Linked DNA regions of Struthio camelus. The protein of the gene in region 1 purifies or fractionates together with the protein of each later gene. This does not show direct contact. Links are inferred from orthologs where the notes say so. Each region holds a gene or a part of one and is shown in the gene's direction. Other genes may lie near its edges.

Region 1 (7,031 bases):
CCGCACGGCCGGGCGGGCAGGACCGCAGCCTGCAGGAGGACGAGGAGGTGCCACATGCCGGCGCGGGGTCAGCAGCGGCGACGCGGGGGACGGGCAGGGCGGTGGGCGCCGCGGCTCGGCTCGCAGACCCGGCAGTGCCGCGCGGAGCCCGGCCGAGCTGTGCCGAGCCGAGCCGAGGCACCGCCTGGGACAGGAAGGTGTCGTAAGAGGCGCTTTCCGCAGGCTGGGGCCGAGTCAGCAGAAACGGGAAAGGACTTTGGCTGGATGCGAAACAGGGAAACGCGGGAGCAGAGCTGCAGAGCGCCGGGGCAGAGATAAAGCGGTCACAGCTGCTTTCCCTTCCTGCTTCCTCCCGCTGCCAGATAAGCCCTGTCCTTTCCAGGCCACTTCTCAGTGCACTTACTGACCTGGGGCAAACAGCCCCAGCGCCTGCTCACGTCCACGGCCCGCCTGCTGTCTGCACCCCGGCCAGGGCACAGGTACCAGGGGACCAAAACTGCCATGCGTCAGGGTTAAATTCACCACCAGTTTTAGCAAAGGGAAAAAAAAAATACTGAGCCCTCCATCCCTGCAGCCTCTAAAGGAAATAACTCAGCTTCTCGTCTGGAATTGGATTTTTATTGAAGAAAACAAGAGTTAAACTGCACAACTCAGACAGGGGAGCACTACGCAAAGTGCCAGGGTGATGGTCTGTCCTGCTGGAGGCCCTGCTGTCCCACTTCATTGTGACCCACGGGAAATCCTGGCAACCCAGGACACCCTGCATGAGCACCCTGTACTGCCTGACCATTGCCCAGGCACTCCTGTCTTGAAAGCAGTAGTTCTCTGCTCCTCAGGGGAGCCCATTTGCCTCAGCAGCCTGGTAACGGGCATAGCAATGGGTGTAACGGGTGCTGAACCACACCAACCTCAGTGCCTGAGCACACATAGTCAGGGCACTTTAAACCCCTGTCGCTCAGCAGCCACATCCAACCATGTCGTGCCAGGGAGCCACGTCCTCCGGGCCAACCTGCCCCAGCCCTGGCTAGGCACTGGGAGCTCCAGGGAGCCTCAGCCAGGCGGCTCAGGGTGTTTGTCCCAACCACTGTGGGAGAAAGCAGCAGGCCAAAAATTCATACTGACATGGATGGCTTTGTCCCCAGCTGCGGTGGAGCCACCATGGCACCAAGCCCAGCAACTCCTTCTAGATGCTCAAGACATGGAGACGAAGGACGTGCCAGCTGGTGCCCTGAAACAGCCTGTCTGCAGGGCATGCTGTTGTCTGCCCTGATGGAGGATGTGTCACAGAGAAATACAGAGATGCCATTGTGCCTGAACCGCAAACGGTAAATCCCCATGGCTACAGCTGGAGAGAGATAGTTGTCCCATGGATGTGGGTCCTGGGACACTTCCCTGAGCACTGCAGACAGCAGGGACCAGAGGAAGGACCCAGAAAGGGTCTTGGGGTGCAGAGAGAAACAGCTTGTGGGACTCTCCCAATCGGTCATAGGGCTTCTGACCTTGTGTTTCTTGACAGTCAGATATCCGTCTCCTCCAGATGCTAAAGTCAGCTGCTTTCTTCAGGGGCATTTCAGATGGATTCAAGGGCAATTCAGGAAAGATGAAGCATGCAGGGAGGGTGTTTTGGGACAGGTGGAGCAAGTAGGAAGGGCAGCTTAGCCTGGCTGAAGCATGTAGGGGGGACACTGCATGCCACAGTGCCAGTAGGGTGCAATTACTACCCAGGGGAAAACAAGGAGCTCCAGAGAGCTCGGCATTCACCCTACCACGAATCAGCTCTGAGCTCACGTTATTTGTTGCCCCACATTGCGTTCAATGAACTCACATCTCACCTGTGGAATCAAATGAGATACTAAGGGCCTCAAAACCTCTTAGATGTGCCTCACCTGCCTCCAGCTTGGGGACTGCAACCCTGAAACGCCTATAAGGGCTCATTGACACTGCACAGCTGAGCACTGGGGAGCCAGGACGTGTCTCAGCTTGGAGGCTGAGTGTACATTCAGGTCTGCTCCCTGTGCCCAGGAAGCCAGCAGGGCCAGCCTCTGCCCGCAGTCAGCACCACAGCCCCGGGCTGACCCTGAGCATCCCCGACTGCAGCAGGAGTGGCGTGGCACTCAGCGTCTCTCTGGGATGAGAGAAGAGCTGGCAAGGTCTGCGTTGCACTGAGCAATGGTGGGGAGGGTGACTACAGCCATGCTGCTAGAGATCTGGGAGATGACGAAGCATTTCCAAACTTTCATGATAGGAAAGGGGCAGCAATATGAGCAGGGAACCCCAAATTCCACCTGAGAGCCTGCCCTGTGGCATTTCACCTCTCAGGCCCTCTGTCTTTTCCCCCGCCTCTTCCTCATCTCTTAGTCTGGAGGACTATGTACTCATCTAAAACCAAAAAGGCAGGGGGAAGGAGGCGGAGCCAAGGTTATACTGGGATCTCGTTTCCAGGAGATGGGAGTTTAAAACAAAACACCGCAGGATTAATCATGGAGAAGAGGTAGCACAGGCAGGGCACAGATGTTTTTCCTCTGCTGCCTATTTCTGACTGGTTTCCTGGGGAAGGGCTAATTTTCATCTTCAGCTGCTTATTTAACAGTCCACCCTACAGGGACTGAACACACCGGCTGAAGTGAGAACAGACTTGTTTGTGGTGTTGGCATAGCTGCGTGTGTGGACAGAGAGAAAAACCTAAATCAGAGCAGCACAGGATGGAAAACCTAGTAAAAATCTCCAGTAGGTCTGGACAGTTACAGACCCCACTCTGTTTCCTCAGCAATAAGGAGGAAAGCTGGGAAGTGAGGTTGCGAGGCTGAGGGAAGAAGCACAGGGAGCGGGGTAAAAGCAGCACTAGGGTCAGGAACGGGTCTGGGACCTCCCTTAGAACAAAAGGGGCAACCAGGAGCCAAGTCCCAGCAGCTGGCAGAGCTCTCCCAATCCTCCTCAGCGAGGCCACAGCACAGCAGCTCTGGGCCTGGGGGCTTGAGCACACATAGTCAGGGCACCGACTATGTGTCGGGACACTGTCCCAGCAGGTTGGGACAGCCAAACTCCTCCAGATGCATCCATCACCCTGTGGGAAATACTCACACAACAGGCCAGAAATGAGCCCAGGTACCTGCAAAGCCACCTCATCGCTGCTGGGGACAGCAGTTGGCTGCTTCCATGAAGAACAGGGAGATTAAAATGTGGAAAACACCAAGGAGAAAGAAACAGATTTCAAATTACACAGAGAGACCAGTCTCTAAAGCACGCTCTGGGATGAGCTTTAAATAGCTGAACTCTGGCAAACTTTACCCCTAAGATGAACTCAAGCAGGAGCTCACTACGCTGATAGAGCCTGGGGAGGTGCAGCTTTTCTGCAAGGCAAGCACAAGGAGAACAACAACCAGCCCAACAAGGCACACCTAATGCCAAACGGCGTGTTTCAGCGTTAGCACACGAAGGCGGACGAGGCCCTACGCTCGCTCGAGGCCCTAAGCGCCGGCTGCCGCAGTTCTTCCAGTCCCCCTAAGGGAGCTGACGGCTCGCAGCACCGCCAAGCCCCCCACAGCCCGGTCCGGAGCGGGCGAGGCCCCTGGGCCCCAGCCCCGAGCCGGCACCGGAGGGGCGCCGCGGCGCCCTGCCAGCCCGCAGGACAACCCGGCTGCCGCGGCCCCTGTCAGGCGGGGTAACCGGGGACCCGCCACCGCCCCGCTCCCTGTCCCGGGCCGAGCCCCCACAACACCCTGCGCCGCTCGTGCCCCCCTACGTCCCAGCGTGCCCTGCCGCGCTGCCCCGATATATCCCAGCGGGCCCAGCGCCGCAGGCCCCCTCCCGCCCGGCCTGCGTCCATCCGGGCTGCCCGCCGCGCGCCTGCTCGCGCCCCCCGCCGCCGCCCCCCCCGCCGCCGCCCCCGCCGCCGCCTCCCGCGCCGCTCGCCGCGGCTCTACGCGGCTTTGCCCGGCCCCAGCAGGAGCGGGAGCGGACGCAGGCGCAGGCGCAGGGGCGGCTCCGAGCAGGCACGGCGGGGCAGGCGCGGGTCCTCGGCACGGCGTGGCGCGGGGCGGGGCGGGGCGCCGAGCCACGCGGGGCAGCGGCCGCGGAGCCGCCGGCGGCGCCATGGGGGGGCTGGAGAAGAAGAAGGTACCGGCCGCGGGGGCCCTTCGCCGCGCCGCTGCCCGCCGGCCCCGCTCCCCTCCTCCCCCCGCCCCTCGGCCGGGCCGCCGGGCGGTCGCCGGCCCCGGGGGCTGCGGGGCCCCGCGGTCCGTCGGCGGCCGCTCCCCGGCCGCGGTGGGGCCGGGCCGTGCCCGGGCCGCTGCTGACCTTCGCCCTTTCTCTCCCCCCAGTACCAGCGCGGCTCTGCCACCAACTACATCACCCGCAACAAGGCGCGGAAGAAGCTGCAGCTGAGCCTGCCGGACTTCAGGTACGCGGGGGGCTCAGCGGGCCAGCTCCGGGGCTGCCTCGCCCCTGCCCCCGCGGCCCCTTCCTGGCAGCTGCGGCCGGCCCGCGGCTTCCTCTCCCACCCGCTGCTCTGCCCGAGCGAGGGAGCTTCCTGCCGCTCAACCCGCCCGTCGCCTCAGAGCTGCCCCGGGACTAGGACGCCGGCCAGCGGTCCGTGAAAGCGGAGTCAGCTCGAATGAGGCCCTTGAGGCTCTGTGCGTAAAGCTGAGCGTCACGTTCTCCGCTGGAGCTGCCTCACGGGTTCTCTGGACTCAGGTGTTTCCTTAGGCAGCCTTGAGCCCTGCTGTGTTTCAGAAAAGATAAAAGTTTGTAATCTAAACCTGGGGTCACCCTTGAGAGCCCTTTCTGAAGTTCTTCTTGAGAATGGTGGTTCAAAAGAACTGGATGAATCCATGCTTTTAACTTGTGCACACCCGGGATCCCAGGTGTGATTTGGAAACTTTAATAAAAGCATATTTATCACTCAGAAGTAATTTGGAGATGTCCCGTTAGTCCTTCTCAGGACACACCATAGAAAGGGTTCAGGAAGGTAATGTTTATATTTAGGCTGTCGCAAAGCGCAGTGGGGCACCAAGGAGTTGACAGTCCCACACGTTCATGGGTGTTGGGAACTGGATAAGGAAACAGACTGAATTCTTCAGGTGCGTTGCTACTGTCTGTGGAGACAGGCTGCAGCTTGTGTACCTCGGCTGTGTTCTTCAGTAGCTGCCTAGAACAGACAGACAGAGATGTTTGTCTCCCTGGGAACATGCTTTGAGGAGCACAGCAAGATTAGAGGAAACCATTGCTTTACCCAAGAGACTAAGGCACGTGATTGCCTTGGTGGGGTGACAAATCGTGCCCCGGCTGAGTGTCGGTCGGTGGCTGTGCTCAGCAATATGGAAGGATCTTGGCTGCTTCCAGAAGCAGCAGCAGAGATTTCTTGGGATACCACCATCCACACGCACGCACACACTCTGTTGCAAGGTGCCAGTAGGGGAGCCATGCAGCATGTGCTCAGGATTCACAGGGTGATGTGACCAAAACTAAGGCAGTGGTGTCATACTGAGACCGTGGGGATGCAGGGAGGAAATGGAGCATAGTTATTTGTCCTGTATGTCCTGATGTTTCAGACTGCAGAGTTCAACTTGTTTCTTTTCCCATGAGGTGGGAAAAGTGTCAGTGCAGGTCACCTTAGTGCTATAAAAAGGGTCTGGAGCATTTTATTTCTTGGACAGCCCAACTTTGCATCCGCATCACTTTAAACTCTTCTAGCAGGTGACATGGAATAAGAGAAATTTAAAGTTCTTCTGCCTCTCATTTCTCACTTTGAGTGGATGTTGAAATACAGCGTGTCTCATCTCCATCTCTATTAACAGGCGCCTCTGTATCCTGAAGGGGATTTACCCCCATGAGCCCAAGCACAAGAAGAAGGTGAACAAAGGCTCCACTGCAGCCAGGACCTTCTATCTCCTCAAAGATATCAAATTCCTCCTTCATGAGCCCATCGTCAACAAGTTCCGGGAGTATAAGGTATTTACAGTGCTCAAGAGCTTTGGGGGTTGAGTTCATGGGGCCCTCTCGTGGCTGAGTCTGGGATAGGGTGATGAGATCGTCTCACTTCGAGGCTGTTGTCTCTTGTTTCCAGCTCTGATGAGTGTTTGTGGCCCTGGCTTGGCTTATTTCTGCAAGGTACAGTGGAGCTGAGCTGACTAACCATGTGCAGCAGTGGAGTGGGGAAGTTTGGGGGCTTAGCTGTGATAGGTAGCTAGTTAATTTGCTTCCAGCTCTTCCCAAAGAAGCTGCATGGCAGCACCTTACATCTGAAAGCTGCCCTTGCACCCATCAACAGCCCATGCAAGCCATCAGAGAGGCCCTTATGTCCAAGGGCTACGTTTCTGTACCACGTGAGGTGGGCTTCGCTTCCCTCCATCCTCTCCCTGGAAGGGAGCCCTGAGTTTCCCCCTCTCTGCCCTGCAGGTGTTTGTCCGGAAACTCCGGAAAGCATATGGCAAAAGTGAGTGGAGCACTGTGGAGCGGCTGAAGGATAACAAGCCCAGTTACAAACTTGACCACATTGTGAAAGAGAGGTGAGCCACCACCCGCTGGTCGCACTGCTGCCTGGACGTCAGTGTGGAGGAGATGCAGGAGAAAATCCTCTTTCGTGAGAATCTGTTATCAACAGTAAACTGAACTGGAGCCTGTGGAGCCCTTGCTCTGTCCGTCCCCCTTTAAGACTCCAGCTCCCATGGCAGCTCTGGGAATTGTTTGACTGGTAAACTGGTGTTTCTGAGTTAGTGGAGAGGGATACAGTGAGCTATATGCTGGCTGTAACAAAGCATTAGTGAGCAGAGAGTTCCTGGCCGTTGTAAAAGGCTCCACGATCTCTAAGAAGGCGCTGAGAGCTCTCCTCCTGTTTTCTCAGGTCACCCTTGGAGTAAGGGCTGGCGGAAAGTGCATTGTGGCAATGAGAGAAGAGAGGGCCCACAGAAGAGGGAACCTGCTCTGGCAGGCCTGTTAGTTGTCTCAGTGGTGCCTAGGGCCTGGTTGTGTTGGGGTGGAGAAGGAGGAGATAAACAGCACTGAGAGACGGACACTGCCCTGAAAATAGTTGT
Region 2 (7,005 bases), on another chromosome or scaffold:
CAATAGAATGTTCTGATTATCAGCAGTAAATTAAGATTATGACATTCCTGCACCTGTTCCAATAATGGTGTTGAGATAAAGAGCTCTCTTTATGAAGAGAATGCAGGAGGATTGTAGTAGTCTCAGTGGTTAGGAGTCTTCTGAGGTTCTAGAACTGCTTTCTAGTGTGAATAATGGGGGAAATGGAATGCTATGCCTTGCATCAGTGGAACTGCTACAAATTTATGGAAGGGTTTATGCGGTATGGTGCATACAGCACATCTAATGAATGCTTTTAAAAATAAGCTTCATAATTTAAAAAACAAGTCCTATATAGAACAGAGAGTAGAAAGAGTGCCTGTCTTTAGATTTTGGTGATTTTTAACTTGGATGTAAACTTGAAATGTATTATGGAAATGTAGTTGCCAGATTCTCATTACTATGTTTGTGGGCTGTAGCCTACCACTCCAGCCTTCTACAGGGAAGATTTGAAACTTCAGGCTTAGTTTAAAAACCAAATGATGAATAGAGCTGTTCATAAACTACATGGCTTAAAAAAAAAAAAGGGGGTTTAAGTATCACATTTTTGATCTTTATTGTATAAGCCCTTGTATATTGTGCCCTATGTATATTGTGCCCTATTTGAGCACAAAGATCCTTGTAACTTTTCTAGCTAGAGCTTCCTAGAGGAGGTTGATTTCAAATGGAGAATTTCCTGTAGCGTGAAAAGTTTCAGCAGAACTCTGATGTGAAGAGCTGGGGACTTGTATATCTTCGAAATAAAAAAAAAATACAAACACTTGAGAGAGAACTTGTCATCTGCTTGCTCTCAGCTAATCCAATTTAGATTTAAAGGAGGTGGTATTTTCATGTTTCTGAAATACATTAAAATTATACCTGTTCTTTTTTTTTTTCCCCCTTAATGTAGGATTTTTACACTCTACAGCAAGTCACTACCACTTGATCTGGCCTGTCGTGTCTGGGATGTCTTCTGCAGAGATGGGGAAGAATTTTTGTTCAGGACGGGATTAGGAATCCTTCGATTATATGAAGATATTCTCCTACAGATGGACTTCATTCATATAGCCCAGTTTCTAACAAAACTTCCAGAAGACATTACATCAGAAAAGCTTTTTAGCTGTATTGCAGCTATTCAGATGCAGAATAGTAACAAGAAATGGGCACAGGTGAGTTTTCGGTTATAAATCTCAGAACACTACGGGGGGCACTTCCCTTAATGACTACTTTATGCTGCGCGTCTGACTTCAGAGTGAGGGTTAATACTGTAGTTGAGGCCTCACCTCTGACATGAGATGCATCTTGAATTTGAAGAGAAGCTCAGATTTTGTTGGTGATTACTCCTTCCCCTCCTTCTTTTGGAAGACAAATTCAGCACTGAAACTTGCTTATGTGGGAAGCGATAAAACAGTTACTGAAGAATCCCTAGTTTCTAGTGCAGACTTACATGCCAGGCAAGAGGAAGAGAAAGATGAACACTTTAAACAGAAGTCTACCTGAGACTGACCAAAATGCAGAGCCTAAGGTTGCGTAGACCCATTTGAACAAAACTTCTGTTCATACAATCTTATGTTGTGGCTGTCGACATAATTTTCCCACCTCTGTCCCCCGTATTGGAATTAATCTAATGCTGATGGGAAAATACCTGTATAACAAAGGACCAGAATTGTTGCAGATGAAACCCTCATCAAGTTAAAAGGGCAAAATAGCCTGAGATCAGTTCTGCATTGGAATGTTTCCTAAGATGGAGGAAAACTTCTGTGACTGGGACTGATAAGGGTGTTAATTGACTCTTCCTCTCTAGTGTCCTATTTCTGAATGTAGTCTCTGTGCTGGTACTGTGACTGTTAATCTCGATCTGTTTTTATAAGACTAATCTGTTTATATTCATTAAATAATTTACATTTTCAGGTGTTTGCCTCACTAATGAAGGACAACAAAGAAGGGGACAAGAACCATAGCCCAGCACTGAAAAGCCAGTCGTCATAATGTAGAGGTCAATTGAAAATGTGGGAAACCACTTGAAAAAGGAGTTTTTGCATCAAATCTGTGTGGGAAGCCACTGTAGAAAATGGTGCAAGAAATGAGAGAGACAGTTTAGCTCTCATTGAAGTAATGAACTGATGAAATCTTCAGCCTTTTGCCAGTATTAGCTCTTTGTGGAAAGATTTGTTTTCACACAGCATACTAAAACCTATGAAACTGAGAAACGAGGAGTTCATATTTAATATTTTAAAAGAGTCAGCTCAATGCAATAAACATTTGTAATAACTTCTGTTGGTACTTTAAAAATTTTTTGAGGCATAACTTTTTACAAATACCACAAAGGCACTTTTTGAGAGGGGTGAGGAAAATGCTAAATCTTAAGGCCCCAAAACTGCTATCCAGACCAAATGCTTTGGGTACAAATATTACCTCCAAAATTAACTATTTAAAAGTATTGAGGACCAAATAAGGTTGTTTGGTATGCGTATGCCAGGTGGGTAAGATTTGGGAAGGGGTATTGTTATTTACTTGCTTTTCAGTTACAGCTTCAGTCTGGGCAAATATAATTAACTCGAAGTGTGGAAGTATTGTGTCCAAACCTGTTACAACAGAAAAATTTTTTTTGAAATTTAAAAAGCGATAAGATCAGGACTGTTCTCAGTGTGTACAGCTTTCAAAATGAATGGCGCTGAGCCTTTGTTTTGGTGTATTAGTTGTGCAGCTTATTAAAAATGGTGTGGGTATTCTGTGAATGGGTTTTGCCACCAGAAGTTTTATTTCATTAAGCCATTCCCAACTAAGATACGCTTGTATGTAATGGTAAACACTAGAAATTGATAAAGCTATCTACAGACTTTGTATTGTCAAGGGAGCATCCACCTTTAACACTTCAGAATAGTGCAGTTTTTTTAAACTATATTTTATTAGTGTGCAATACTGAAATGCAAAAAGCATATGGTTTAATGATACTTAATTCTTTTAGCAACTTTTAACGGTGAGAAAATAATGTCATACAGTACATGTCACAGCAGATGTTTTCAACATTTCCTGTTCTCAAAGATCCACCGTACAACTCTCGATTGTGGAGGTTGGGAATTTAAAATGGATAGCACTGCAGGTGAGGAACACTTGCACTCTCTTGGTCCATTTTTGCTAATATTTAATGTAAATAGGTTCCTTACATGTGGGTTTTTGTAACTGGACCCTCTGTGGAAATCAAGTCAGAATTATCATTGCATATTTTTAAGTGCAGGAGGTTTTCAGCTGTCTGGTGTTTAAAAGCAGAGTCTATGTAACTTGGGGTAAAGATTTAATTAGTGTGGTGTAACTTACGTTGCTATCTGGTTCAAAACTACATATATATTACTCATAACATTACAATTTGAAACTTAAATGTCAAATTTTTCTTAACTTATGTATTCACTACTTTAATTGGATTCAATTTGTCTTATATTTTTGTGTTAACTTGTACAGTTTTCTTACTTTTCAAGTATAAATCTCTGTATATAACTGTAAATAGAAGGATCAAGCCTTCCTTTAAGACCACTAGTAACAATTCCTGTGTAAATAAAACTTATAGCAGAAATATTGTGTTGTTCTTTTCAAGGCTGTTGTTTGCCCAAAAGAAAAAAATAACAACACTTGCCAAGTAATATATGAATATACAGTAGGAGAAGGTTGGTGTGTGGTTTTTTTTCTCTTTTTTTTAAAAAAAAAAAAAAGAACGGTTAAGGACGTAGCAGCGTTGCATTCAGCACTGCTGCCCTAACCAACTTGATGGCTGAACGTGTTATTTTGTTGCGGGGGGGAAGAGGGGGAATGCTTGGGATGAGGAGATTGCCTTAACTGCGAACGCGGTGGTAGTAGGTACTAACGCCCTTCTTCCCCCCCCCCCCCCCCCCCGCCTCGGGCTACGGTGAGACAGACGTTAAAGCTGTAGCGCTGAGGCCCCCCCAACGGCCGCGCACCCCCCAACGGCCTCGCGCCGCGCCCGGCCTCCGCCGCCAGGGGCCGCTGTGGGCGCGGCCGCCGCCGTCAAGGGGCGGGTCCCGCCGCGCGCGCCGCTTCCGTTGCCCGGGCCCGGCGTAGCACGCGCTCGGGGCGGCGGCCGCCATGAAGCCGGTAGGAGGCGGGGGTTGGGGGTGGCTGCCGGGATCGGGGGCGCTGCGGGGCCACCCGCCCCGCGCCGGGGCTGGGCGGCGCGGCGCGGCGGTTTCCCGGACCCCCCCCCGCGGCTCCGTGTGAGGCTGCGGGGCGGGCCCGGCCCGGGCGGACGTGGCCGCGGCCGGGCTGCGGGCTGCTCGGTGGAGGGGCTGCCCTCCTGCGCTGGCTCCGCATCCCTGCGGCGGAGCAGGTGTGGCGTGAGGCTGTGAGGCGTGGGAAAGTTCTTGGTGTTGCAGGGCAGGTGATAAAATACCGTGCGAGTACGGAGGGTAGGCAGCAGCTGTGCTCATTCTGCTGCAGATTTCCTTTTTTTAGCAAAGGCTTGTCTTTCGCTTGTGAGAGGTGGTTTTGTCAGAACTACAATATGAGAGAAACGGATCGTGCGTGGCAAATGTCGGTCGAGTCGTTCATTAAGACGAGGGGTATAGCATAAGAGTTTTAGCAGAGTAGGATAACCTGCAGCGTTTCTTGCTCAAACGCACTTGAGTTGTGAGGTGGTATCTGGAGAGGAAAAGCAAACTCGAAAGGGACTTTTAGGTAGATGGTAATTGTAACTATTCTCACTTAGTTTTATGTGGTTAGTGTAGAGACAAGGGTCAGCTTTAGAAAGCCCTTGTGAAGAGGATGAGGATTTGACTAGCAGTATTTTCAGAGGTCTTTTAGAATCAAGAGCTGACCCTTTTGGCATTTTCGTATCATCAGCCTTCACAAAACCTTAAAAGCAAGTCAGTGCTGTTGTCACTGATGTGTGGGATTGCTGGGTCTTAAGATGAACACGGTAAGTCCTTCACGAGAAGGAGATCACAATAAAAATAATGGCTTATGGGTCCATTCAGGCTTAGAGTAGCCTGTTGATATCTAGGGTATGGATATGGATTGCTTTTATTTCTTCAACTCTTTCCCAACAGCCAAACCTAAAAGGGGAAACTGAAGGTGAACCGACAGAAATTCCAGACCTAAGAGCTCCACACTGGTTCGGTCACCTATCTCTTTACCAAGGAGACACATCTTTCCTCACCAAAACTCTAAAATCACTCTTTTTTTTTTTAACTCCAGTTCCTACCTTCCCACGCTGCTCATTATGTAAACCGTGTCCGTTTTCAGGATCCTGAATGCTTCTTGGAGTGTTTTGCATTTTTTGGCCCATTGTGCCCATACTGATCTGTGCATCCAGGCTTTCTCCTTCCTCTCCTCCTCCTGACCGCTGTGGCTCCATGATCCTTGGCACCCGCAGCCCATTCACAGCTTCTCCATCACACAGTTCTGAGCCTTGCTGAGGGCAGCCTGGGCTCTTCCACATGTCATAGCTGTCGTGGAGAGCTTGGGACAGGAGGGTGCTGCATCAGGACATTTGCCTGAGGCTGTAGCCTTGTACCAGAGTCCCTAACCTTACTTACTGTGGGCTAGGGAAGAACAGCGTCATGAAGAAAGGAGATGGAGTGCTTGGGAGTGCGCAAGCCAAAGAACTGAATCTTGGCTATTTGTATGCCACACTTTGAATATCCATATTTTTTCTGTGTCTGAAAGTGGATGAGTATTATGCTTAATAAAAGAATTGTTAAAGAATGTTTCTGTAAAAAAGAGAAATGTCTGTCTTCTCATTCATTTAACATAGTTGGGTAAACTTGCTGAGCTGATGATACCATTTGGAAGGAACAAGTTGTTCAGCACTGATGGAAATATGTGCTTAGTGAGACATGAAATAGTGAAATTAAATTTTACAAGGGCTACAAACAAGTCAGTTACTTGTAGTTTTCTGTTTGTTTCATAGAGAAAAAACACAAAACGAGTTCCAAGCTTTCGCAAGTTATTGAGAACTAGTAAAATAAAACTCGACAACAAACTAAAGAACAAGCAATATAAGCAGCAGAGTGCTGCTAAGAAGTATCGAAAAGAACAAAAGAAGCTAAGGCAGGCTGTCAGAGATGCTGTCTGTAGAAAACCTGTTCCATTGGAGGAATACAAGAAAAAACATGTTGGTAAGTGCTTTTTTGTTATGAGCAGTGAATTTATTAACATCTCAGGCTTTTTCTTTGTAGAGGAAGGCAAAGGTGTGAGGTTTACTAGTATCCTGCTCTTTATGTTGTAAAATTGTTTCAGAAAATCAAAATTTAATTTCGCGTGCATAAATAATTGCTCTTCTTGTTAAAAGAAAGAAAGAAAGTTATGAAAAACACAAAACAGCCTTTTTGGCAACAAAAGATCTGACAGAGATGGTAGAACCAGGTTTGCTATAATCAGCATTGTGTGTTTCAATAAAGGGGCAGTTTTCTGGGATCAATAAAAGGGCAGTTTTCTGGGATAAGATTTTTTGGCCCAATGTTTGTGAAGATTGATGAGATCAAGGTTGAAGTGAGGTCTAAAATTACCTGACAGAAGTAGGCAGTTTAAATATATGTACAGAATATTAATCTGTATTTGTTGTCTTCTAAAATAGCTGAAAAACAGGACAAAGAAGAGGAGGAAGATGCTCTTCCACTGGACATGATGGATGAGGATGACTTGAAATTAATGGAAGATTTGGCTCAGAAAGCATCATTTTTAACCAGAGATCTTTCTTCTAAGTGAGTGTTGTTACGATGTCTACTTTTCATAGTAATTCAGCTGTGTGTGGCTAATATGTAACGTAATAACGTGTATCAGGAGGTCGCTTTGAGTCAGTTTTCTTTGGAATTCCAGTTTAGCCCTTTTTTAGTCTCTCAGGGTAATCTGTATTAATGTGTTCATGTCTATGGGTACATTCACCTGCCGTGTCTGACCTTCAGGATACTCTTTCTGCGCAGTGTTGGCTCCTGTGAGAACCCTAACTGTGAGAGAAGTAGCATTCCTCAAACTCAGAAAAATGCTTCATTCTGTATA
Region 3 (7,365 bases), on another chromosome or scaffold:
GGTTGCTTGCTGAGTTCAGGTCCCATTTAGAATAGTTAAAATTCATCTACCTTCCCCACAACAATTGTGAGAGGGTTTACACATGCTTGCAGTCACCATTGCAATGCTTTGTACACCTAGAGCACCAGAGCTGAACACTCCCGATTTTCTAACATGCTATGAAGACTAATAGAGCAGTTGCTCAGCTAAAGACAGCATGGAATCAAAACAGTTGAAAACTTTTCCACCCCAAAACCCGGCCCGGGGTCTACTGGCAGCTAGGTCAGTGACATGTAAGATCATATCTGACTTAGAGGTACATATGGGTATTTGAGGATATTTTAACCTTTTTCCCCACAGCTCTCACTAACTGGGCTACTGAGGCATCAATTGGGCATAAAGCTTTGGAGACACTGCAGCTGACTTTCTCAGTTAGTCTTCCTAACTGGGGGAGTCAGGTAGAATTTCCTAAGTGATAGACATCTAAAGCAAATGTTTCTCACCAGTCCCAGGAGGTCCTTGGATAATAGCCAGCTCCTTGGTGAGTGCAAGATTCAGTGCCTGCATCTGAGACTCATCTAATCTCAAACTTTCCATTGAAGGCCACTGGTTGGGATCTAGAACATTGACACTCTGCCTTCTCAAACCATCAGGGTACATCTCTTCATCTCTTGGAGGGTCTTCCATCAAGGGTGCAAAGTTGTAGGTAGTGCCCACTGTTAGGTATGCTGGCTCCTTCACACGTGCATCACATTCCACAATGTACTTCTGGAATGGAATATCTTCTTCCCGGATTTCCTGTAACCCTTCTAACACATGCCGATAGGCCTCAAAGTAGGCAGTTGTTTCTACCATAAGGAAGGAGTCTGAGGGCTGAACCTCTGCCAGCAGTGCCTGGCTCTGTGCATTAAAACATAGCTGCACAACTCCCTGGGCCAGATCTGCACTATCGCGATTAGAGACAGTAGCAAAAAGGCATGTTTCAAAGTGATCTTTAGACATGCAGACCAGGGATCCATACAGCAACCGTTTGGAATTCTGCCATCGTACAAACTTCAATGGCTTTGTGTCAAACTGGACCTTGTAAACAATACCAGACGAGGAGCAGAGGGGGGTAATAATACGTGTGTCAAAGTAGATCCTGATGTCATCAAATTTTTTCTTTCTCAAACCTTTGTCCTCAAAGTTCTGCAAAAGCTCCAGGATACCTTCCCTTAAAGGCCTTACAAAGTCTTCTCTCAGAAGACGGAAGTGAGTATCAAGATAAATGCTAGTGCTCTGATATCTTCCAGAAACAATATTGGGGCGCAAAAAGGGTTTCTCATCATGATGCACCTCATTATATGTTGGATAAATGGTCATTGTACGGTACGTTTCTTCCTGACCATCAGCCTGAGGCTGCATAAGCGTATAGTTGTCAGCCCTCAGTGTGCCTTCACGTCTTTTCTCCTGCAGGTGCTGCACAAGCATCTGGACCTTATTTAGATTCTTCTCCGTTTCTTCTGTGATATCCACACCAGAAGCTCGCAGAACATTTATGGATGCTGGCAAGACTGTCAAGAGAATGGAGATTTTCTGTACAGAGCTGGCTGGAAAAATACTGATCAGGTCCTGAAGAAGTGAGATGATGTTGCCAATGTGCTCAGGGTACTGATGTCGTACAGCAGGGACTGCCTCAGTTATAATGTCAGACACATACTGCGGCAGACAAATCTTGAGAAAGTTGGACTCCTTCACCACTCCAAGAAGCTGCTGGACACTCTGTCGATCCATTCGGGAACTGCATGCTTTTCGAAGCACCTGACAGATGAGCTGAAGGAAAGTAGGTTTCATAGATGTTTGTGAAAGAAGTTCCTTCAGACCCAAACTGGAAGCAAGCGTGATGACAACTTCAGAAGGGTCTTTCTGGAGGAGACTTTCTAGGAATTTGTAGCCAATCCTTTTGGCTTGCTGAGGCTGCTCACTAAGCTGGGCACCACCTGGGGTAGGGTTCTGGTAGAAACGAGGATTCTCCCCAGGCTGCATCCTCCTTCCTCTACTTTCATTTTCCTGCCCATTCCTCAGCCCTCTAGCTCCATCGTGGGCTTGTCCGCTCTGATGCTTCCTTCTCCTGTCCTCATTTTTTGGCTCGTTCCAGGGTCCTCTGGCTCTCTCATGTGCTTGCCCACCCTGATACCTCCTTCCTCTACCTTCATTTTCTTGCTCATTCCTGGGTCTTCTGGCCCTCTCATGTGCTTGTCCACCTTGATACCTCCTCCCCCTGCCTTCACCGTCTTGCTCATTCCAGGGTCCTCCAGCCCGCTCATGTACTTGTACACCTTGATACTTCCTTCCCCTTCCCTCATTCTCCTGTCCATTCCAGTGCCCTGTGGACTCACTGTTGGCCTGTCCACCTTGGTTTCTTCGTCCCTGATTAAAGAACCAGCCAGTGCCACCAAAGCTCTCCTCTCTTTGCCCAGGTAGAAGAGGGTAATTACCAGCCTGGGGGTTTTCCCCAGCCTGAGCTACTCTCTTGTGAGCCTGGCCTGAGCCATTGTTTATTCTGTTCCTGCCTGTTTGTGTAAAGCGATGATCAGCATGCCCTACAAAGAAAAGATAGAGGTACTCCTTAATTACAAATCAACCATATTAACTTGTCTCCCAATACAAGAGCTGAGTGTTTTGGCCTGGCAGTCAGCATATTTTGGACATCTTGCATCATATTAAAAACAAAATATATATATTTTACACCTAGGCCTTTATGTTGGTGTTTCCCTGGTACCCTTTTTTCTGACCATTTAAAAAAAAAAAAAAAAAAAAGCACCATGCCTAGAGTTCACGTACACTGTTAATTCATGAAGATACTAAGAAAAGAACACCTTTTCCACAGGCCAGAAAGCAGAATTAAGAAAGAGCAGAGGTGAATTTTCCTATGCAGGACAGGATTTCCTCTGGAATTAGCTGTCATTTAAATAATGAAAAAAACAGCAGCAGCTGGCTCTGGCTTTCTTTATGTAGCACAGATAAAATACAGATCTTCTGGACAAAGCCTGACCCATCACAGTATCAGAAAGCATATGCTGTACAGTCTTTATCAAGCCCTCAACTGAATACTCAGAGACGTACTGAACATTAGCAGAATAAATTAGCAAAGAGATTGTTGCAATGCATCATCACTTTAAGGGCCCCGATCAGAATCTAGGAGGCAAATAAGGAAATGCAAGAATTTACACTTCAGAGGAAATCATACTGCACACGCACAGGCAAGGAAGGAATGGGTCACACTGTAGCACATCATCCCCCAGCTGTTCTGTGACCTGCTGCCCTGCGTTAACCACGCAGCTCTCACCTCTTCCGCCAGTTCGGAGCTGCCAGGAGCGAGGCTCCTGCCCGGCGCCGTCCATCGCTCGAGGCCCCGGTGCTGCCTCCGCCGGGCTCCCGCGGCCGTCCAGGGCGAGGGCTCTGCTCCGTGCTCCGGGCCTGAACCGCACCTGCGCCGCGAGCAGAAAACCGGCGCCGTCGTGCTCGGAGCTCAGCCCTCTGCCCTGCGCGGCTGCCGGGGCCGCTGGATGAGCCCCAGGCCAGCACCACTCCGCGCCGCCCCGGCCCTAAGTTTCGCTTTCCAGTTCCCGGCGCGGCCGCGCCCAGCCGCGCCGCCCCCGGCCGGCACCGCCCCCTCCCCGGCCCCCCCGGCACCGCCCCCTCCCCGCGGTCCCCCCGGCCCCTGGCCCCCCCCGGCTCCTCCCCCCCCAGGACCCCCCCCCGGCACCGTCCCCTCCCCGCGGTCCCCCCGGCCCCAGCCCCAGCCCCATCCCCTCCCCGGGACCTCCCCCGGCCCCAGCCCAGGACCCCCCCCCCCCGCACCGTCCCCTCCCCGCGGTCCACCAGCACCGTCCCCACTCGGGACCCCGGGCCCCGCCGGCAGCGCCTCCTCCCCAGCACAGTCCTCTCCCCGGCCCCCCCCAGCACCGCCCCTTCCCCACGGTCTCCCCGGCCCCGGCCCCGGCCCCAGCCCCTCCCCGGACCCCCCGGCCCCGTCCCCACTCCAGGACCCCCCCCCACACCGTCCCCTCCCCGCGATCCCCCGGCACCGTCCCCACTCCGGACCCCGGGCCCCGCCGGCAGCGGACCCTCCCCAGCACCGTCCCCTTCCCGCGCCCCCAGACCCCGCAGGCTACATCCCCGGTACCGGCCTCTCTTCCTTCCGGTCGGTCGGTTCCCTCCAGCGCCGCTGCCGGCGGCCCGAGCGCCCCCGCCACTTTCGGTTTCCTTTCCGCCCGGGGGCGGGGAGGGGCGTGGCCCCCATCGCCCCGCCCACCATCCTCCGGCCCGGGCGGCTCTGCGCACGCGCCGATGCCCCTGCGCCCATGTGCTGGCGCGCGACTTCCGGGACGCGACTTCCGGGGGGCGGCGGCCATGCTGCAGCGCCTGGGCCTGGTGGGGACCATCGCGGAGGGGGACGCCGCGCCCGAGGACCCCGAGTCCGGGGACTCTGAGGATGAGCAGGTGCGGCCGGGCCGGGAGCGGGGCCGGGCGGGCTGGGTTGCGTGGGGCCGGGCCGGCCTGTTCGTTTCCGTGCGGCCGGCCCGGCCGGCGGTGGCTGCTCACGGGGTGTCGCTGCAGGAGCCGGGCCGGGTCGGGCTGCGGGCCCCCCCGCGCGGGGACTTCAGCGCCGCGTTCGTCTTCGGGGAGGCGGAGGCGGGCGGAGAGGGCGCCTGGGCGGCGGCGCTGCGCCAGCTCCGCGGCAAGGTGAGGTGTGGGGGCCGGGAGCGGGGGCCGGGAGCGGGGCCGCTGTGCCCCGCGCTCTGCCGGGCTTCTCTTACGGCGCCTCTCTCCTGATTTCCTGCTTAGAGAGCAGCCACAACACTGGACGAGAAGATTGAGAAAGTGAGACAGAAAAGGAGGATCCAGGTCAGGGATGTTCTCCTAGTGCCTAGAGCGGTACAGGTTTGGCTTTCCATAGCTTCCCCCGTCAGAGGCACAGGCTCTGAAAACATCCTGAGTCTCGGTGCCCAAGCCACAGCTCGGCACCTTGGCTGTTTTTGCAGGCATACCTGATGGGTTCCTGCTGAAAATGCAGAATTTTTTATGCTTGAGGTTTTACAAACTCATGCATTTCTGAATGGGCTCTTAATTAAAAAAAAAAACTCATAAAGGGTTGAAGTTTCTTTGTTATTCTTCTTAAACCATTCGTTTCATATCTTTTCCTAGGAAAAAGAAGCTAAACAAACAAAAGTGAAAGAGGAAGATACAAAGACTGAGGATAATCAAATCAAAGAAGGAGAGAGCGGGGATTTCAATAGAGAGAAAGAAGAGGATGTGGAGTCCCAGAACTCGTTAGATGATGAAAGTATCTTCACTAAAGCAGGTATTAGCAGTACACAGAGAGGTGGTCAGGAGCAAGGATCTGACAGACTGTTGGCTCAGTGGAGAGAAGTCTCTAGTGAGACTTTGGGAGGGAGCAAGCAAGAATCTATTAATTTGTGTTGTCTTATCCACAGACCTATGTGATGCTACTTCTGGTCTTGATCAAGCTTATTCTGAATTGTAGCCATAGTACTTTTATGTGGAGTTGGCCCTAAGGGAAGATGTGTGCTTGGCGTTTTACCCTGTTGCATGTCTGATGTTAGTTTCTGAGGCTTTTCCATCAATGACACATTAAGAACAAAAAGTACAAGAAGAGAACAGGCACCGCATCTTGTTAAGTGTTTAGCTGTGCTGATTAATTTCCATCACTTTTCTCTTTCTCTGCAGATACTCTCAAAGTGAAGGAACGGAAGAGATGGAAAAAGGGAGAAGCAGTAAGTGTTGGACAGAATGACACAAGATTGTTTGTTCTCTAGTGATTTATCTTAAGTAATTTCGCTTTGGTTAGCAAACCGTAGGTCACAGAACGCCCCAGAAGCTTTTGGTGATGTGTTTTGTTGTTGCCTACGTTGTTCCAGTTTTGTTGTTGTTCCTGTTTCTAGGAAGCAGAGAGCTTTTTTGAAGATGCCTCTCAATATGACGATAACTTGTCATTCCAGGACATGAATCTTTCACGGCCTTTACTAAAGGTATTTAGCTGTTTTGCTTACTATGTAGCTTTCTATTGTAGAAAATGTACAGCTTCCCCTCCACCAATCAAAACTGTCAAATTCTTCCTCTCTTTGCAGCCTCTCTGAACAGGAAATGTGAGGTAGAGGATGGTATGACAGTTAGCCTTTTAAGAGCTAAAGAGTTATTTCAGAGTCATAGAAACCATTCTTTGATTTGCAATATATGTCAGTGCTATCTTGAGTGACGCTTATCTTTTTTATGTAAAGTGTTTAACTGCTCTATCTCCTGTGTAGGCAATCACAGCTCTTGGCTTCAAGCAACCAACCCCGATTCAGAAGGCTTGTATCCCAGTGGGCCTTTTGGGGAAGGATATTTGTGCCTGTGCTGCCACTGGGACAGGTAGGAATTGAGCAGGCGGTAGGAAATATGGAGAATTAACTATCCACAATAGCTTAGTAATTCTTCTTCATTTTCTTCTGTAGGTAAAACAGCTGCCTTCGTCCTGCCTGTACTTGAGCGCCTGATTTATAAACCTCGTCAGGCTCCAATAACGCGGGTATTGGTTCTGGTGCCAACTCGAGAACTGGGTATTCAGGTGCACTCTGTTACAAAGCAGTTGGCACAGTTTAGCAACATCACAACTTGCCTTGCTGTAGGTGAGCATTAAGTTGCTTAAGTAAACCATACATCTCACTGCAAGCTTCTGTACAGCACTTGGAATCCTGTGCTTTAAAACTGGAGGCTGTATGGTTATTGCAGGCATGCTTTGAGTAGGTGTGCTATAGTTTAAGTTCTCACTTTCCAATAGCGTGCAATTCTGTTTTTTTTTTTTCTGATAAAAGAAAGGTGGTCATTTCTAATTGTGAACATGGTATTAATCATAATTGTTTCCCAGTCTTCAGAGTATTTGGGTTTGTGTACTCTTAAATCCTGCTCAGGGAGTCAGTGGTCCATGTTCACTCTCTTTCAGGTGGCCTAGATGTGAAGACTCAGGAAGCAGCTCTACGCTCTGGGCCAGACATTCTTATCGCCACTCCTGGGCGGCTGATTGATCATTTGCACAACTGCCCCTCTTTCCACCTGAGCAGTATTGAAGTGCTGATTTTGGATGAAGCAGATAGGTAAGCTGGGCAGAACAGTAATGAAAAAGGAAATGGTGGCTTCCCGTTTTCCTTTCCCCAGGGTATAGGGCAGTGGTTATTGCCCTAAGTAATGGGCCTTGGCTAGAACCATTCAAGCTGCTTTGCTATATTTCTCTTGTGTAGGATGCTGGATGAGTACTTTGAGGAGCAGATGAAGGAAATAATCAGGTTGTGCTCCAAACACCGTCAGACAATGCTCTTCTCTGCCACAATGACAGAGGAGGTA
Region 4 (7,377 bases), on another chromosome or scaffold:
GGGACAAGAGAGGAAGTCTGGAGAAAGGAAGACCCTGCCTTGGTGGAGGAGGATCAGGTTAGAGATCATTTGTGCAAACCTGACATCCACAAATCCATGGGCCCCGATGGGATGCACCCGCGAGTGCTGAGGGAGCTGGCGGATGTTATCGCTAGGCCACTCTCCATCATCTTGGAAAGGTCCTGGAGAACAGGAGAGGTGCCTGAGGACTGGAAGAAAGCCAGTGTCACTCCAGCCTTCAGAAAGGGCAAGAAGCAGGAGCCAGGAAACTACAGGCCTGTCAGCCTCCCCTCCATCCCTGCAAAGGTGGTGGAACAGCTCCTCCTGGAGGTCCTCGCTAAGCATCTGGAGGACAAGAAGGTGATCAGGAGTAGTCAGCATGGATTCACCAAAGGGAGGAAATCATGCTTGACCAATCTGATAGCCTTCTATGACGGAATGACTGGCTGGGTAGAGGAGGGGAGAGCAGTGGATGTTGTCTCCCTTGACTTCAGCAAGGCTTCTGACACTGTCTCCCATCACATCCTCGTAGGTAAGCTCAGGAAGTGTGGGTTGGATGAATGGATGGTGAGGTGGCTAGATGGCAGAGCTCAGAGGGTTGTGGTCAGTGGCGCAGAGTCTAGTTGGAGGCCTGTAGCTAGCGGTGTCCCCCAGGGGTCAGTCCTGGGCCCAGTCTTGTTCAATGCATTCATCAATGACCTGGAGGAAGGGACAGAGTGCACCCTCAGCAAGTTTGCTGATGATACTGAACTGGGGGGAGTGGCTGACACACCAGAAGACTGTGCTGCCATTCAGAGGGACCTTGGTCAGGCTGGAGAGCTGGGCGGAGAGGAACCTCCTGAAGTTCAACATAGGCAAGCACAGGGTCCTGTACCTGGGGAGGAATAACCCCAGGCACCAGTACAGGCTGGGGACTGACCTGCTGGAAAGCAGTTCTGCAGAGAAGGACCTGGGAGTCCTGGTGGAGAACAAGGTAAACATGAGCCAGCAGTGTGCCCTTGTGGCCAAGCAGGCCAATGGGATCCTGGGGTGCATGAGGCAGAGTGTTGCCAGCAGGTCGAGGGAGGTGATCCTGCCCCTCTCCTCAGCCCTGGGGAGGCCTCACCTGGAGTCCTGTGTCCAGTGCTGGGCTCCCCAGTCCAAGAGAGACATGGAGCTACTGGAGAGAGTCCAGCGGAGGGCTACCAAGTTGATGAGGGGACTGGAGCATCTCTCCTGTGAGAAAAGTCTGCGAGAGCTGGGCCTGTTTAGCCTGGAGAAGAGAAGACTGAGAGGTGATCTGATCAGTGTGTACAAGTATCTGAAGGGAAGGTGTCGAGAGGATGAGGCCAGTCTCTTCTCCGTGGTGCCCAGCAACAGGACAAGAGGCATCAGGCACAAACAGCTAACACAGGAAGTTCCATCTGAACATGAGGAAAAACTTACTGACTGTGAGGGTGACAGAGCACTGGCGCAGGTTGCCCAGAGAGGTGGTGGAGTCTCCTTCGCTGGAGATATTCAGAAGCTATGTGGACGCGATCCTGGGAAATACGCTCTAGAGGACCCTCCATGAGTAGGGAGGTTGGACTAGATGATCTCCAGAGGTCCCTTCCAACCTAAACCATTCTGTGATTCTGTGAGAGCAGCTCAGCTGAGCTGCTTCTCTTTGAAGGTAACCGGAGACACCTGACCAGAGCCCTGATTTTGTAAAATGTAGAATGGCTCTAAAGATGTCTCTAGCATTATGACCTGGTAGAGGTTTGCAGATGCCCCATGGCAGATCCTTCCCCCGGTGGAGCACCTCCCTGTAGAGAAAAGACTGTAGGTAGCTCTGCTTCAGACCATGCACAGAGCGGGAACAGCTCCCATATGCCAAGCAATGTGTGTGCCCACATCTTGTGACTGGGCTGGGACAACGCAAGGCCATGTTTTCTGCACTCAGCAGTGCAGAAAGTGAAGAGAAATACTTTGTGGACTCATCCTTTTCATGGATTTGGTGTGGTGATACCAGGAGCTGTGCAGAGAGGTGGACTGACAGGTGTTATAAATGACGGACAGTTGGGTTAAAGTTATCTTTTATTTCCCTGCCTTGAGGAAGAGCCATGGGAAACTGCCAGGCTGGCTCCTGTCACACAGAAGTGTCCTGTTGGATCCTGAGTCTGAGACAGTTTGTTCCTGGTACCTCCTGGGAGCTGCTCTGCTCCCACTCACTGCTCTCTCCACAGGGAGGGAGCAGAGCCAACGCTGTGGCTGTGGCAGGGAAAAGCCTCCCACAACTCACAAAGAGCAAGCGATCCACCAGCTGCTCTCGTCTGCCCGGGGCCCAAAGGCCAGTCTCACGGCCCAGGGCATGGGCTCTCGCAGAAGAGAATAGGTATTATCTCACTATTAGCACCAACGTAGAAAGCAAGAGCTGGAGTCAGGTGGTTGTTGCTGGCCAGTTCAGCCTGTCCAACTGCCTCAGCCTTTCTCCTGCTGAGCGCTGAATTAATTGCTCATGTTTTTACGGTGTGACAGATGATGTAAGGTCGGCTGATAGTGATGTCCTGGTAGCTCTGGCCCAATCTCACTTCAGTGACGTCCTGTGTGAGCTCCAGTGCCGCCTGAAGGTCCTGGGGGAGATCTCGGAGTTCATTTTCATCAACCTGCGCAAATTTGCCGGCCAACTATAATACGGCACCTTCAGTCTCCTGCTCTGAGGTTTTGATCTATGCTAACTGGGAGAAGGGATTCGCCCGTCTCTCCAAAATGGTCCATCCTGAATTGGAGGCTGTAAGGTTACACTGTCCCCTTGCTCTCTGCCAGGCTGGTCGGGGGCCTGTCCTTACCCCCCCGATCTCAGTGCTCTATGGATAAGGACAGCAGGGGAGCAAACCGGACGGAGCTCTGCCCCACACCGTCCTCCCAGTCCTCCCAAAGGGCTGCCCCATTCCCTGCTTTAAGGAAGGCACCAGCACACTGGTACCCAGATGAAACCTGGAGAGACCTCCTTGTGCTGCGGCCCCCTCCAGATCCCACTGGTTGCTCATGCTGGGGTTTTTCTGAGATTCCTTTGACCCCCAACTGTACTCCAGGGCAACTGCACACTGCCTGTATGGAGGATGAGGAGGACGCAGCAGTTCTGGTTCATCTCTGTCTTGCAGTATCTGGGTGATTTGGGGCCATTGCTGTATGTCAGTGGTCTGCAGTTTATTGCCATCCACTGTTTCCCTTTTCGCTTTCAAGGTGCTGCGCTTCGCTATCTCTCCCCAAGCCAGTCCTACACAAGTGAGCCTTGCTGCTTGTCCTTCCTGCGCACGTTTCCCATTACAGGCCTGCCAGACTTGCTCTCTCCAGGCCAGAGTCTGTGGGATCTCTTTCTGGAAGTCAGCTGGGAAAGCTGCTTCCTTCCAAGGCGGAAAGTGACTCATTGGTGTCACTGTGTTTTTCTCTCCCCGGATGCAAGACTTGCAGCTAATGCTGACCCTGACCCAGAGTGTCACCAAGGTCATCTGTGCCATCCAGGGGGGCTCCCAGATCATGGAGCTCTCCTACAAGCGGGAGCTGCTGGGCACCCTGCTGCTGAGTGCCCTGGAGCCAGGACTGTCCTGACAGACAGCCTGTGGCTGGCCAACGAGGCTGGTTTCCTCCAAGGTGTGATGTTCTCTCTTGGCTCTTTGCAACCTCGCGAGCACCCTGAGCTGGTCCCCAGCCGGCAGAGCCCTTGGCCGCTGGTGCTCGGTGGTTGTCACTGGAGAGAACAGCCGGTGTGACCCCTGTGGGACTGCTGCCTGGCCCCGGTGCTGCTGTGGGAGCCGTGCAGGTGACCGGGGCCTGTTACTGTGTCAGGGTGAGCAGAAGAGCCTGTTCCTGGGGCAGGAGGGCTCTCTCCGTGAGAGCTGCTCCCAGGCCTCCTGAGGTGGATGAGCGCCGCGCTGGGAGAGGAGACGCCTCCTGCCACGCGGAGGGGCGCGCGAGCCGGGGCGCTGCTCGCGGGCAGGAGCGGACGGGGCAGAGACCCTGGCACGCTCGCTCGGGACGTGGAGGCAGCGCTTCGGCCTGCCCTGCCTCCCAGGTGGGGAAAACAGGTTGTTCGGGTTGCTTTTGACTTCTGCTTTCCCCTGGAGAAACTTTTGGCTCCCGGGTAGGGATTTCCCCCCGTGGGGCTGTAACCCTTGTTTGATTAGCGTCAGTTTGGTTTGCCCGAGAAGTTACTTCTGAACCCAAGGTCTCTAGATGATCCCCCTTTGAGGGCACCTGCGGGCTGAGGACGCTGCGCCTCACGCCCAGGGAGACCCTGCCCGGTAATTCTCGGCCTGAGGAGGAGCCCCGCAGCCCCGCCGAGCCTCCTGCCCGGCCGCACGGCGCCGGGGCCGGGGCCGGGGCCGTGACGCGCTGCCCGCGGCGGCCGCGCGGCGGCGACGGCCGTTGCCTTGGCCGTTGCCGGGGGCGGGGCCGGGGAGTGGCGGCGCGGCGCGGCGCGAGCAGCTGGCGGCGGCAAGATGGCGGAGGCCGAGTGAGTGGCGCGGGGCGGCGCGGGGCATCCGGCGCCATCCGCGGCCGGGGGTGCGGGGAGGCGGTGGCGGCGGTGGCGGTGGCGGTGGCGGGGGGTCTAACGGGCTTCTCGTGCGGCCAGGCCGAGGCGGAGGATCCCGCTGGTGCCGGAGAACCTGCTGAAGAAGCGGAAGGCCTACCAGGCGCTGAAGGCCACGCAGGCCAAGCAGGCGCTCCTCAGCAAGCGCAAGGTACGGCGGCGGGGGCCGGCAGCGGCCTGCGAGGGCATCGCGTGCCAAAACCTGCTGCTTTTGTTTGTCGCGGGCTTGTGTGCGTGTCCTTGAGTAGCGCGGCTTGCGGGCTGTATTTCCATGGGGGGAGCGGAAGCACAAGGGGTAACGTGAAGTAGCCAGCTTTTGAGGGGAAAAATGACCCTAATGCTGACAGCGCGATCGCGTCTGCCTGGTTTGAAAGCTTAAGCTCTCTGCGTGGGTGGCTTGTGAGGTGAAACTGAATCAAGGATGCATAACGTTAGGTAGCTTAGTTGTAAAATGCCCTGATAATTTAGTTGCTTCTGTATCTAAAGTGTTAATGGATAACTGCTGTGCACATTGAATTTTTCCTCATGCAGAAAGCGGTATGATTTAGGAAGATGGCAAATACTTGTTTCTGAGCTGAGCGTAAGCATTCAAAGTGCAATGAATCCTGTGGCTGTTTCTCCTGTGCCTACAAATGTTCTAGGTCTTGCTCTATGTTTTATCCTAACTTATTTCTTGGGTTCTGGGGAAAACTTCTATTGGTTCACGGTTTATGCATTAGAGCTAACTGCTTAAAGTTTGGAATTTGATCCGATTATAGTCCATCGGTTCTGTCCCTCTTGGCCTTATATTTTCAAAATTATTTTCTTATTATTGCCTCCAAACTGGAAGAGCATAGTTCAGGTTCTGAATTTAATTTGACCTTTGAGATGTAAACTTATAAGATGCAGAGGTGGTAATGTTGGGAAAGGTGTTCATTTCTTACCGTTCTATCTTTAGCACCAGAAAGGGAAACAAATCCAGTTTAAACGTCTTGAGACTTTTGTTCGAGATTCATGGCGCAAACACCGAGACGAAGTCCGGCTGAGGCGCATGAAACAGAGACCTGGGCAGGTGGCTGTACCTCAGGAGCACAAACTAGCCTTTGTCGTACGAATTGTAGAGTAAGAAACTTTTGTTATCTTTTTTTGTTATCTTTTATTGTTACTGCGATTTGTAACTGTCATGCTATTTCTAAGTAAAGAAAGTGTGATCAGTGTGGACATGTCTTCTTATAGGTAATTTGAGGCTGTTTTCTTGCTATACTAGAGAAAGAGAGTTACTGATAACATTTTTTCTGTTTCAGGATTAAGGGAGTGAGTCTGAAGGTACGAAGAGTGATTGAGTTGCTTCGGTTGAGAAAGATTTTCAGTGGAACGTTTGTTAAACTGACTCCGTTATCTCTAAAGATGCTGCGGATTGTGGAACCTTATGTGGCATGGGGGTGAGTGCTGTTCTGATGCTTTAATAGTAAATAGTGTGTAAATACAGCTTTTTGACTTTTCCTTATGGTATCACAATGTCATCAAATCCATACCTGGCTTTCCAGGGAAGGTCCTAGCCTTGGCAACTTAAGATCTAAAACTTGTACTTGTTCCTTGTCATCATTCGAAACATACAATGGTTACTTTCCCACTCTGATAAAAAGATGAGGGACTTCCTGCTGCCTCATCTCTGTCATTATCAAAATCTCATTTTTTTTTACAGGTACCCTAACCTGAAGTCTGTACGAGAGCTCATTCTGAAACGGGGTCAAGCCAAGATTAACAAGAAGAGGGTTCCTCTGACAGACAATATGTTGATAGAGGAACATTTAGGTGAGGAGGAAGATGAGAAAAATAAAGTGAATCAAGGAAAGAGGGGAATATTGAGGGTTTGCAATCTGATGCGAGAGGGAAGGGAGGAGGAAGAAAAATGTTACAGGATAGGCATGTATGTGGAGGACTGAGGATTCTGGGGTGGTGTGCTGAAAGATACCACAATTAAGCATCCCTTTTGTGTGTGTGGCTTTTTTACAATTGTTTTTTACCTGCAGGAGACTGTGGTATTATTTGCCTGGAAGATCTTATTCATGAAATCTACTCAGCTGGGAAATATTTTCAAAAAGTCACAGACTTTCTGTGGCCGTTCCATCTGTCAGTGGCTCGCCATGCTGCACATAATAAAGTGGGTTTCCTCAAGGAAATGGGCAAACCTGGCTGCAGAGGTGAAGGAATCAACCAGCTTATACGTCAGCTGAACTGATGAGGTGAGGAACACCTGTAGGGTAACTTCTAAATCTTACCCTTTATCTGGTTTCCTAAGAGTAGCTCTACTGCCATCGGAGATGAGAAGGACTCCTTTGTTTTTGATTCTTCCTTGTACAAAAGTGACTGTCCAAGGCAGAGGAAACTTAAGTACTTGTAGGGAAATGAGAATGGCTGTCAATGTGAAGATTGTGGGGCCTGTCAGGCGTTGGCAAATACTACTGGACTTCTTAAAGGCCTGACTTAAGGGAGGCTGTTTTAAATTGACTGTTAAACTTTTTTTTTTTGGTCTCGTGTTCTGCAGGGTCTTTGTGAAAACTTTAGGATTTATGAGCTGTTCCTTGTCAAATGTAGTTTTCATGGACATCTGGCTCTGTGCTATGAAATATTACAACCCTCTCCTGACTGTTGCTGGCTTTTTACTAAAGTGTGTTATGGTGGCCTATGTTGAGGAAGAAGAAAAGGTGCATTTGGTGCAACAAAGAGGTGACTTGAACTTTCTGGAGCAAGCCCATTTCTGTGTGTCAACAAAACACATTTTTTAGATGCTTTACTACAGTTTTGTATCCGCCACCTCCTGCCCCTAACTTTGGCAACAAGCA

Evidence for each region.
Region 2: the proteins of PES1 (region 1) and NOC3L purify together in Homo sapiens (affinity purification with mass spectrometry; 3 studies listed by BioGRID and IntAct, counting the BioPlex papers as one, with this or other methods). This does not show direct contact. The link is inferred for Struthio camelus from reciprocal best matches to the Homo sapiens genes PES1 and NOC3L.
Region 3: the proteins of PES1 (region 1) and DDX27 purify together in Homo sapiens (affinity purification with mass spectrometry; 4 studies listed by BioGRID and IntAct, counting the BioPlex papers as one, with this or other methods). This does not show direct contact. The link is inferred for Struthio camelus from reciprocal best matches to the Homo sapiens genes PES1 and DDX27.
Region 4: the proteins of PES1 (region 1) and RPL7L1 purify together in Homo sapiens (affinity purification with mass spectrometry; 4 studies listed by BioGRID and IntAct, counting the BioPlex papers as one, with this or other methods). This does not show direct contact. The link is inferred for Struthio camelus from reciprocal best matches to the Homo sapiens genes PES1 and RPL7L1.

The regions. Positions count from the first base shown.
Region 1 is NC_090958.1:4,713,695-4,720,725, forward strand, and holds the start of PES1 (pescadillo homolog), read left to right. Parts: upstream 1-4,028; 5' UTR 4,029-4,092; coding exon 4,093-4,116; intron 4,117-4,319; coding exon 4,320-4,399; intron 4,400-5,795; coding exon 5,796-5,949; intron 5,950-6,396; coding exon 6,397-6,506; intron 6,507-7,031. Other genes in the region: TCN2 (transcobalamin-2), read right to left, coding at 2-56. UniProt on the Homo sapiens protein: Component of the PeBoW complex, which is required for maturation of 28S and 5.8S ribosomal RNAs and formation of the 60S ribosome.
Region 2 is NC_090948.1:19,753,173-19,760,177, reverse strand, and holds the start of NOC3L (nucleolar complex protein 3 homolog), read left to right. Parts: upstream 1-3,988; 5' UTR 3,989-4,095; coding exon 4,096-4,104; intron 4,105-4,326; exon of another isoform or gene 4,327-4,915; coding exon of another isoform or gene 4,916-4,924; intron 4,925-5,917; coding exon 5,918-6,125; intron 6,126-6,583; coding exon 6,584-6,710; intron 6,711-7,005. UniProt on the Homo sapiens protein: May be required for adipogenesis.
Region 3 is NC_090959.1:19,662,425-19,669,789, reverse strand, and holds the start of DDX27 (probable ATP-dependent RNA helicase DDX27), read left to right. Parts: upstream 1-4,351; 5' UTR 4,352-4,374; coding exon 4,375-4,707; intron 4,708-4,809; coding exon 4,810-4,869; intron 4,870-5,169; coding exon 5,170-5,326; intron 5,327-5,712; coding exon 5,713-5,759; intron 5,760-5,927; coding exon 5,928-6,014; intron 6,015-6,290; coding exon 6,291-6,396; intron 6,397-6,479; coding exon 6,480-6,653; intron 6,654-6,967; coding exon 6,968-7,118; intron 7,119-7,262; coding exon 7,263-7,362; intron 7,363-7,365. Other genes in the region: ZNFX1 (NFX1-type zinc finger-containing protein 1), read right to left, coding at 483-2,561, 3,308-3,362. UniProt on the Homo sapiens protein: Probable ATP-dependent RNA helicase. Component of the nucleolar ribosomal RNA (rRNA) processing machinery that regulates 3' end formation of ribosomal 47S rRNA.
Region 4 is NC_090945.1:20,334,534-20,341,910, reverse strand, and holds the start of RPL7L1 (ribosomal protein uL30-like), read left to right. Parts: upstream 1-4,361; 5' UTR 4,362-4,460; coding exon 4,461-4,474; intron 4,475-4,594; coding exon 4,595-4,703; intron 4,704-5,489; coding exon 5,490-5,653; intron 5,654-5,835; coding exon 5,836-5,973; intron 5,974-6,236; coding exon 6,237-6,346; intron 6,347-6,564; coding exon 6,565-6,773; 3' UTR 6,774-6,777; intron 6,778-7,079; 3' UTR 7,080-7,377.